Mytilus edulis: one gene and its partners. The protein of the gene in region 2 purifies or fractionates together with the protein of the main gene of each other region. This does not show direct contact. Links are inferred from orthologs where the notes say so. Each region holds a gene or a part of one and is shown on either strand. Other genes may lie near its edges.

Region 1 (3,760 bases), about 110 Mb from region 2:
GGGATCTGAATAATTTTTTTAGGAAAAAAACATAACCCCCTTGAAGCTAAATGGTCGTTCCTTGATCACTATGATTTGTCTTTATGAAGAGAGACTGCTCTGCTGATGACGTTTCTTTTTTTTTAGTAGAATTTGTTCCCATAGATCTTCTTTTACCAAAACTTGCAAGGTATTCAGTTTCTTTATATGCATATATATGGTCATGGTATTTCTTTGATAGTTATACCAGATAGGTGGCATGCTAAAATCTGTTTCTGTGAAATTAGAACGCATGTCAACAATTATTCTACCAAGGGGTGTCTGGATTGGGGAGGGGGGTTGTACCTGTATTCTTTCAAATGTTTGCCATTTTCTCTATTCTTTATACTTTTTGCCCATTATTTTAGGACCTCATTTTTCTCTATTTTTTAAATCCCCCCTCCCCCATTTTTCTCTTTTCTGTAAATCCACATCCACATCCTCATAAACCTCTACTCATGAAGTATATTTTCTATTGCGGCAGTTATTAATCTTTATCGGACTTATGGGGTGTTGGACCAGTGGGGTGTCGGAATACCTGGCTGACGTCCGTTGACCCCCATAAATCCAATAATTGTTTATGTTATTATGAACACCATCACATGTCAATATCATATATTTATTTGAAGTTTATACCCAAGATTCACAAAAGTGTCGGATACTTTCTTTTTCATCTATATTACAGTTTTCAGATGGAAAAAAAATGTTAAATATGAATTATTGGTTATAAATATTAGGGACAATCTACACTATGCCATATTTAATTAAAAAAAATCTACATTAGTTTACTGTGTAATATATAAAAATCACCACGTAGTTTCTCGTATGTCCTACGAATAACAATGTATGATATTGTGCATGCACTGTTCTGTTATTTGTGTTTCCTATCTGTAATAATCATTAAAATGTTAACTTGGCGTGCCATACTTGATAGAAATGCGGACGTGAAAGAAAGCACTCTTTATCAAAACGTCAACGGAGATTACATTCTTCATTTATACAACCTATTTCAGGGAAAATGTGTATTAATTTTCAATGTTGACACCAATATTGATCTGCTGGATGTAGATTTTACGAAGAAAACCTAAAACACATTTGGTCCTATTTGTTATTTCATAGCAAAGACTCAGTCTGGTTTAATCATTGACGGTATAATATTGTTATCGTACGATGCACAGTCCTGTGTATCCGCGCATTTCATGAATTTTGGCTCCACTGTGAAAAACGTATGAAAACTTATAACTGTAAATCTTCCTCTAAATTTATGATTTTACTCACAATATTATGTGCAACGTGTTTCCGAAATTTGACCGGGACTTTATACGATCTTTTTCTAAGAAATACAGTTCAGTTTGAACCTTGGAGCGGACTTCCAAGGATGCGGGCAAAAGTTTTTTTGTCATCAGTTCAATGATATTTGCCGTATTTAAAATAAAACCATTTTCCCCTAATAGATTCATGAGGAGGGCAGGACCTTTTTTGATCCGGTTCTACTTTCAAATTTCGGAATATCAGGATTTAAATTTCTTTAAATTCGGGACCTCGGGATAACATACTTTTAAGACCTTGATTTCGGGACCAGGCCCCCTCTGATTCCCCTCCCCGTCACCACCCCATTCATATCTCATTTATGCTTCAAGAACTTCTCAATTTTTATCTTTTCTTTCTCTTATTATTTTAATGATAACCAAAACAATTCTTTTTGTTGCGAAATCATACAATGTGGGATATCACCGGCTGTGCGAAGCTCTCAGTCTGACAAATCATCGAGTTGAAAAGCCTGTCACGGTACTTTTTCGGCTGATTTTGGGTTACAGGTAATCCAAGCACTTGCATGGCATCAATTTTAGATGTACAATTAAGGTTTTAATAGCGCTCCTTCGTTCAATTAAATTTAATAGTGAGTTAATAGACTATTAACGCTAATTAAAATTTGTGCAACACAAATAATAGACTATTAAATGTAAGTGTACTTTTAATAGACTATTAACTTTAATAGACGTTTGTGCAACCCAGTCCAGATTAGTGTTATAATTTTATATTTCTTATTTTATCTGATAAATAAAAATAATGTTGTAACTTAACGCCCAAAATATGAAGGGTAAATATAGTGTTATGAACTTAACTTTTAGGTATGATTTTGAAAAAAAATCTATTATGGTTTCAGATAATTATATGTTAATTAAAAAAAATCGTTTAAGTTATCATAATATAAAAAAAAAACTGGTACCATCTTCTTCATTGTTACAACACTGGATGGTAGAATATAGCCTTTTGTCCTCTTCTGCACTGTTACAACACTGGAGGGCAGGATATTGCAATTTATCATCTTCTGCACTGTTACAGCACTGGAAGGCAGGATATATATAGCCTTTTATCATCTTCTGCACTGTTACAACACTGGATGATTATCATCTTCTGCACATTGTTACAATTTACACTGGAGGGCAGGATATAGCCTTTCATCATCTTCTGCACTGTTACAACACTGGATGTTTATCATCTTCTGCACATTGTTACAATTTACACTGGAAGGCAGGATATAGCCTTTTATCATCTTCTGCACTGTTACAACACTGGATGATTATCATCTTCTGCACATTGTTACAATTTACACTGGAAGGCAGGATATAGCCTTTCATCATCTTCTGCACTGTTACAAAACTGAAGGTAAGAGATAGCCTGGTACCAATTTCTGCACATTGTTATATACAACACTGAACTAAGTGGGACAGTCTGATAAGCTTCTTCACTGTTATAATACTAAAGGACATACAGGGAAGCCTGGTTTCAGCTTTTCCACTATCGAAACACTGAATGGTTTGAGATTGTCTGGTAACAGCTTCTTCAATATTTCAACATTTTAGGACCAGAGAAGAACTGGTACCAGCTTTTCCACTGATAACACACTGAAGGGCATGATAGATCCGGGTTTCCGCTTCTCCACTGAAGGGAACGAAATTCTTTCCTATCAGCTGCCCCACAACACAAAGAACGCAGGACATGACATTAGGTTCTTCAAGCTTCTCCACGACACAAAGACTACAGGACATAATATAAGTCCTATCAGCTTCTCTATGACACAAAGACTGAAGGACATGTGATTAGGTCCTACTAGCTTCTCCACAACACAAAGACTGCAGAAAATGCATTTAGGTCTTATCAGCTTCTCCACAACACAAAGACTGCAGGACATACATTTAGGTCTTATCAGCTTCTCCACAACACAAAGACTGAAGGACATAGGATGAGGTCTTATCAGCTTCTCCACGACACAAAAACTACAGAACATAATATTAGGTTCTATCAGCTTCTCTATGACAAAAAGACTGAAGGACATGTGATTAGGTCCTACTAGCTTCTCCACAACACAAAGACTACAGGACATGCATTTAGGTCTTATCAGCTTCTCCACAACACAAAGACTGAAGGACATGAGATGAGGTCTTATCAGCTTCTCCACAACACAAAGACTGCAGGACATGAGATAAGGTCTTATCAGCTTCTCCACAACACAAAGACTGAAGGACATGAGATGAGGTCTTATCAGCTTCTCCACAACACAAAGACTACAGGACATGAGATGATTAGGTCTTATCAGCTGCTCCACAAGACAAAGACTACAGAACATGAGATAAGGTTTTATCAGCTTCTCCACAACACAAAGACTGAAGGACATGAGATGAGGTCTTATCAGCTTCTCCACAACACAAAGACTGCAGGACATGAGATGATTAGGTCT
Region 2 (3,760 bases):
TATCTTATAAACTATATAAGATATCTTATAAACTATATAAGATATCTTATAAACTATATAAGATATCTTATAAACTATTTAAGATATCTTATAAACTATATAAGATATCTTATAAACTATACAAGATATCTTATAAACTTTAGGATATATCTTATAAACTTTAGGATATATCTTATAAACCTTAGGAGATATCTTATAAACTAAATAAGATATCTCCTATAATATATAAGATATCTTATATCATTTCATTTCTATGAGATATCTTATATATTATATGAAATATCTTAAATATTATATTACACTAAATAGGCCAAGTTAACATTAAATAACAAAAAAAATCATTACAAATTATCTCAACAGGTCAAAATAACACGAAAGTACGATTCGAGAGTATTCGCAGTTACGGAAAGCTAAAACAGTTACTGAACACCAAAACAAATTAATGATAAAAAAATCATGCACCAGGAAGTAAAATCAACTAAAACACATCCCAGAGATTTAGTAATTTAAGGTTTATGACCCCTTCTGTTGCCATGTGAACAACAAGCATCATTATTTATTGTCCATTGCATTTATTGAATAGAAAAATAGGATTTTGTGATAAATAAAACCAAGATTTTAATAATACAAAGATTTTTCGTATGAAATTTTAAGCATAGATCACTCACTTGTGTTTCTATGATTTACTAGCGTTTATTGTTTATAGAAAAGTCATAAATAAACCTGATTATTAAAAAAAAAAATTGTGCTGATTCACATGTTAAACTTGAGTCGAGCGCACCATATATAACATTCATATACATGTACTTGTTTTAAGGAAATCATTGCTAGCACTGCATGCAATAATCCTCTATCTATCAAGCACCGAATTGCCAAAATTAAGAGTACGAGGAGGGAAGGCTGTCACGGGATTTTCTTATAAATTCTCATATGTTTCGTTTAACATTGATACAACACAAGGGTACATAATCCTTAACGTCATTATGAGTGGCCGTTCATGTCATTTGCGTGATAATATACGCGTATATAATCGCGCAAATGACACGAACGGCCACTCATACGCCGTCACGGTCATGAACAGACTGATAATGAAAAATGTCTAATGTGAAATATAGATAGAGTAATCTCGATATAAAAAATGAACGTCAGTGGATGTGTATTTATGACATTTATACATCACAAAAAAACGTTTGAAAAGAATACTTTTTACTAGTTTATTTAATGAATTTGAGCCTCGGTTGTTAAAGTATGTTTAGATTTTGAAGCACTATGACATATTAAAATTTAACCTCTTATGGGGGATTTTCTTGAGTCACAAATCTGTGAATTTTACCACATTTGAAACAGAGACTTTTTATACTAATTTAAAGAAAGTTAGTATAGGAAGGCTCTGCTTGAATCTACGAAAAACTCAGTTCCAGTTTCCGGATACTATACATGGCTGATCGCATTAGTTTTTCAAATTAAACTACTTCCACAATCGCATGCGCACATGAACAGACGCATGGCGTACTAAATCTAAATAAAACTAAATAAAAAGACTAAAACACCATGGTTAAGTTAACAGCTGAATTGATTGAACAATCTGCACAATATACAAACCCAGTTCGAGATAGAGAACTTGATCTCAGAGGTAAACTGACTGTCTCGAATCGTAAAAGATCACAATGACAGAGTTTGTCAAAAACACAACAAAATAATATAATTTTTCATAACTTAAACTTGGCTAATCAGTATTTTGTTAAGGCAGTTTAGTTTTTGCGAATGTATCTTTTTGAAACGTAGATTCATGCAAAATTGGTCGGAGTAGATTCTTCTGGTTTTGATATATTTCTTGTGTAAACAATGATAGGAGTTTGAAATCCTATCAATAAGGGGGTAAAAATATACCAAAGTCGACTATCACAGTAGAGCTTCTCTCGAAAATATACTGTGATAGTCGACTTTGGTATATTTTTACCCCCTTATTGATAGGATTTCAAACTCCTGTGAAACAATATACATACTCCACACCAAAAATATCGTCTCATAACTAAATCGTCTCACTTTTTCATCAAATCGCCACACTTTTAAAAATTATCTCCCCACTTAAAATGGACACACACTGGCCTACAAACTCTCCCAACTTATATAAAAAGGATTAAATCCTGTTAAATATAATCCTGGAGAATATATATATGTTTAAATTTTTTGCGCCTGTCCCAAGTCAGGAGCCTCTGGCCTTTGTTAGTCTTGTATTATTTTAATTTTAGTTTCTTGTGTACAATTTGGAAATTAGTATGGCGTTCATTATCACTGAACTAGTATATATTTGTTTAGGGGCCAGTTGAAGGACGCCTCCGGGTGCATGAATTTCTCGCTACATTGAAGACCTGTTGGTGACCTTCTGCTGTTGTTTTTTTCTATGGTCGGGTTGTTGTCTCTTTGGCACATTCCCCATTTCCATTCTCAATTTTATTAAAGGTCAGCCAACTCACCCCACTGATGAAAACTTATCTATGGTATGCCATAGTACTGAATCTTACTGCTGAATCTTTCTTTGTCCTTTAGGACAACCTCTTGGTAGAGTACAATATTAATATAACCCTCCACTATCCAGAATTATCAATATCATACAAATATGTATAATTTATATACAAGTCCGCACTGGGTGATTTAGTTGTGTGGTCTTGTTTCTAGTCCTGATATTTCATTTAGTATTTTGTTTTGTGTTATCATGCCACTGCTTGTGTTATTGACTTATTGTGCAAAGTTTGCACTGCAAACCTATCATAACAAAATAAAATTATGTGAACATATGTGAACAATGATTATCCACTTATTCTGTAAAACAGTGATTATATTATAAACCAGGAAAAAACCCCATCATAAACAGTTACAATAGTCAATTACATCGTCCTTCACAGAAACACTAATTCATCTTTCTGCTTTCTTTCAACCAAAAGAAAAGAGTTTAAAAAAACTAAGATGCATTTCTAAGGTATTCATAACCATTTTATTAAATTTAACAGTTGGGCGTGTTGGCAAACCTATAATGCTATGAGAATGAGTTCTTTTTCATGAATGTAAGAACAGTCTTTACTAGCGTAGTAGACTGTCCTTATAAGTCGGACAAGATGGCATGAATAAATAAATCATGGTTTTTCTATTTTTAATAACTGGGTAGAACAGCAGACCTTTTTTTCAGCGTGATTTGTTAACCTTTCCTCCATTGAATTTTTTTGTTTGCATACCTGATTCGCATAAGGATTTCTCAATAAAATGCTAAAAATATGCTTTAAAGTATTAATGCATTGCGAAAAAACAAATAATTCATCAAATAAATTAAAGTCGGATATTCCTACGATATTCCTTTTCATATTGGATACAAATTTTATTAAGTCTACTGCAGACACTTTGTAGTCAAAGCGTTTCAACTGAGGTACTACACAGGCATCAAAAGGCGTCATTATGGAGTAAAGGGGGTGGCGTCAAAATGATGATTTATTTATCACTTTTTAATTTATCAACATAGTTTCTGACCAGTGGAAATGTTACATTAGAGGACAATGACCCAACATACATGTACTCTTCTCTTTTAAGTCTCACATCTTTTGCCTATCAGTTTCTTAGAATTCTATGAGAATGCATTCTTTTTCATGAATGTAAGAACAGTCTTTACTAGCGTAGTAGACTGTCTTTAATAAGTGGGACAACATGGCATGAATAAATAAATCATGGTTTTTCTATTTTTATGCCCCACCTACGATAGTAGAGGGGC
Region 3 (3,760 bases), on a different chromosome or scaffold from region 2:
AGTTTGAAATAATGTCCCTCTGGAATCTTTCACTTCTCTTTTCTCATGTTTACTGGTTGTTTTAAATAATAGGCAGTCTCAATAGGGGGTTCTGATCCCGGATCCCGCTTATTGTTTTGTCAGATTCTCTTATCCCGCTTAGACTATGCATGTCAGCAATTCTTTTTTTTTCGTAATTTCCTGTTTTTTCACGGCAACATAATTTAACTTTAACGCAACATGGTTACAAAAAAAATCCAGTGTCAAGCTTAGAACCCTATGAGACCCACATGATAGGCATGTTTTGTTTTTTTGTTTTAATTTAAATGTCATAGTTTTATTGTGAAAGTCTATGGATTGTTCCAGTGAAATTTGAACCCTCACATCTTGGGATCTTAAGACAGCGCTCTAACAGATAGAGCCAAAGTTTTTTTTAAAAATAGAACTACGATTGGATATCTTAATCTTATTCTGTGGGTCTCATTGGGGTCTAGAGTGACGTGGGATTGCCGATTTTATGTAAGCGTGACACATGAAAGTCAAATTATTGTCGGGAAAACGGGAAATGAGGTCTAGCGGGACACAGGAAATGACAAAAAAAATAAAATTGCTTATGTACATTGTGTAAGCGGGATACAGGAATCTGACAAAACAGTAAGCGGGATACGGGATCGGAACCCCCCAATGAGACCCCCTATTCTACTTCTACTTCAAGTTCTACCAATACGCAGCCACCATCAATAAGGCCTAAATTAATAAATTGTTTGTTTCCCCAAGCCAGGTGTGGGTAGGCATGTAGGTAGGTAGGGAAATATTTTTATTTTTTCCAAAAAGCTGTAACAATAACTGTCAATCCGGTAGTCCAAATAATTATGACGTCTTGAAAGGCTATTATAATTTTTTTCTTTGACGCCTTACTTCGACGTCATAACGCCAAACTCATATATTCAGTTGGACTTTGATAGGGAATTTACTGCTTTATAAAAACGTTTAGCTGATTTCTCCTCAAGATGCTTCATTTAAGGTGTACAAAATATATTTTTGAACCAAACTCGGTACATTTTGACCAACCTGAATTTCCGGATAATGTAAAACAATGGTTCCGGAAATTCGGGTTTTACCGAGTTTGGTGTAAAAATTATTTTATAATCTCCTAAAAAGAAATCCGACAAACGTTTTAAAAAATGCAGTCGACATGTTCCCGCCTCGGATGGAATTGTTACTTATATTATTATTTCTGTAGGGATTAATTGGAAATATTTTCGTAAAACAAACACATAAAAGGTAAGAATTTTTATATATGCATTTTGTTTTAGCCTTCTTTGAAAATTTGATGGCTAAATTGGGTCTCAAAGTTGAGAGCAAAATATGCTCTCAAAGTCCAACCGAAAATGGCGGCTTCAGCATTATGACGTCGAAGTAAGGCGTCAAAGAAAAAAATTATAATAGCCTTTCAAGACGTCATAATTATTTGGACTATCAATCCGGCAAACATGAAAAATTGGAAATGAATAAAATAATATTTGACTTAGCTGTGACAATAAAATTTTATGAGTAGCACCGTTTTTTCAGGGTCTGTCGGGATTGGGGAAACAAACAATATTTTATTTTAGGCCTAAGTTGATTGTTTTGCCACTTTTGGATGCGCATTTAAAATTTTGACAAGAAATAAGTATTAATTGATAAGAATTTGTGCTATACATCATATAGAAAGTGATTCTGTATTCTGTAGGTGTCGCTGTTGACACTGGATTGTCTCCCTTGTAATTATTTAAATCTCGCGTGTATTTATATTTCACTCTGGTAAACAACTCACTTGTACTTTAAAATACATACTATTAGGTGGCAACTGTGCTTAACATATTTTTCCAAAAATTAAAAAATATATCTACATTTGGGGGGGGGGGGGGGGGGGGGGGCTAGGATGAAAATTTTTGTCCTGCTTTTTTTTTTAGTTGTAATCCCTGTCCTGTCTTTTATTTTGAGTGGTTTGCATATCACCCCAGTTGCCGAATTGACTATTTTCATCAGTTCATCCTCATTCAGGATAATACTGCATTACAAACGATAATCCCCATCCCCAACCTGAATAACAAGCAGGTAATACTGACCAACCCCTGGCTGTTTTCTACAGAAAATCAAATCTGGGTGATGTTTTGCCATCGTCTAGAAACGTTCTACAGTTTTGCAAATTTTAAGCAAAAACGAATTTTTATATAATGCAGTCTATGCAGTGTCAATATAACAGTTAAACCAATAAATCTCTGTTTTATATTTTTTCTAATATATGTTATAAATTATGATTATAATTACATTATTTTAAAAGAGAAAATAAATGTAAATGATTTAAGTTCGTTTTGAAAGAATATTATTTAAATATGAAATTCTTCTAGGTGATCGAAACGTTTAAAAGACCGAAAATTAAACATTAAGATAATAGCTCTATAATTACATTGAAAATGGCATCCGAAGCAATTTGTGAAAACAACGTGGTTCCAGAAAATGATACAGAAGAAGAAGAAATAACATTTAAATCACTGGTAAATGGCCAAAAAATATCGAAATCATTATACACACATCAGGTTAAAACGTTCCTTGTTCTTTTCTTCTCCTTTTTCATGTTTGTTCTTTAGTCTTAACTAACTTAAGTGAGTGTTTACTTGACACTAATATAAGGCAGGCATTACATGCAAATGGGGACGAAGCCTGTATGAATTTTTTTTTGTAACTTAAATATTTGTTAAAAAAAAAGAAACGGAAATACCGTAACATTTCTGATTTTGGTTCTGTTGTTAGGGATTTTAGTTTTGACGTTATTTAAGTTATGACATCATATGCAATGTAAACAAAGAAACGCTATCATCAAGTAACGTTTTTTCATATCAAGGAATTATTGAAAATGAAATTGGTATTGCGTTTCTTCCTATTTTATACTAGACTGATAAATATATATTTTACTCAAAGTTTCATACAAACAGTCAGGGTACTTACTGAAATAAGTGATTTTTAAATCACTTATTTGAGTATCAAATTTGAGGTTTTGTCACAAATTGGGATTTTGTAGTTTTTTCAAAATTTTAAACACATAGGTTTAAATAATATCTTTTAATTAGTAAAATTATAAAAAAATGAACTTTTTGCTTCTTTTAAATAGCAAGGTTCATGACTTTGATGCTATCATTTAGCCGTAAATTCAATTTTAGTTGAAAAAATGCTATAATAATGGCTTTACATAACGAACTGAGACTTTCTTAAAAGATTTTTCCCAGCAGTGGGGGTATTTTTCCTGTGAAGTTCAAGGTTTAATCTTTCAGATTATGTCATAAAATTCTACTGTTCGCAATTAAAAATTTCACTGTTCGGGGGTGTTGAAATTAGTGGGGGTTATTAAAAGAATGATACTTAAAGAAGTGATTTTTGGGAAGGAAATTGAGGTCTGATACTTAAACAAGTGATTTTTATGTCATTATCCAAGATTCAGTACAAGGTCATCACCTGAAATGACCTGGTCATCCTAGACAACACAGATGTTGGTTCTGATAAGTTAAGAAACATAATTAGTCCCTGGATCATTAGTATTCTATATTTAAAGCTATAATAAAATTAAATCACTTCTTCTAGTGATTTATTTGTACGTGTACAAAATGTACTACTTAAATAGATGATTATTAAAGAAAGACAACTCTAACTTCCAACCTTTATGGAAATAATCTTACTTGAATCAGTGATTTAGAAAATCACTTATTTAAGTAAGTCCCATGACTGATAAAGGAAGTATATT

Evidence for each region. Proteins that work in one complex are often made in the same cells at the same time.
Region 1: the proteins of U2 small nuclear ribonucleoprotein A'-like (region 2) and splicing factor 45-like purify together in Homo sapiens (affinity purification with mass spectrometry; 5 studies listed by BioGRID and IntAct, with this or other methods). This does not show direct contact. The link is inferred for Mytilus edulis from reciprocal best matches to the Homo sapiens genes SNRPA1 and RBM17.
Region 3: the proteins of U2 small nuclear ribonucleoprotein A'-like (region 2) and PHD finger-like domain-containing protein 5A purify together in Homo sapiens (affinity purification with mass spectrometry; 4 studies listed by BioGRID and IntAct, with this or other methods). This does not show direct contact. The link is inferred for Mytilus edulis from reciprocal best matches to the Homo sapiens genes SNRPA1 and PHF5A.

What each region holds. Positions count from the first base shown.
Region 1 is NC_092344.1:3,347,542-3,351,301, reverse strand, and holds the start of splicing factor 45-like, read right to left. Parts: upstream 2,363-3,760; 5' UTR 2,348-2,362; coding exon 2,249-2,347; intron 1-2,248. UniProt on the Homo sapiens protein: Splice factor that binds to the single-stranded 3'AG at the exon/intron border and promotes its utilization in the second catalytic step. Involved in the regulation of alternative splicing and the utilization of cryptic splice sites.
Region 2 is NC_092344.1:117,060,442-117,064,201, reverse strand, and holds the start of U2 small nuclear ribonucleoprotein A'-like, read left to right. Parts: upstream 1-1,470; 5' UTR 1,471-1,551; coding exon 1,552-1,633; intron 1,634-3,760. UniProt on the Homo sapiens protein: Involved in pre-mRNA splicing as component of the spliceosome. Associated with sn-RNP U2, where it contributes to the binding of stem loop IV of U2 snRNA.
Region 3 is NC_092352.1:52,171,354-52,175,113, reverse strand, and holds the start of PHD finger-like domain-containing protein 5A, read right to left. Parts: upstream 2,201-3,760; 5' UTR 2,143-2,200; coding exon 2,091-2,142; intron 1-2,090. Other genes in the region: probable ATP-dependent RNA helicase DDX47, read left to right, coding at 2,439-2,519.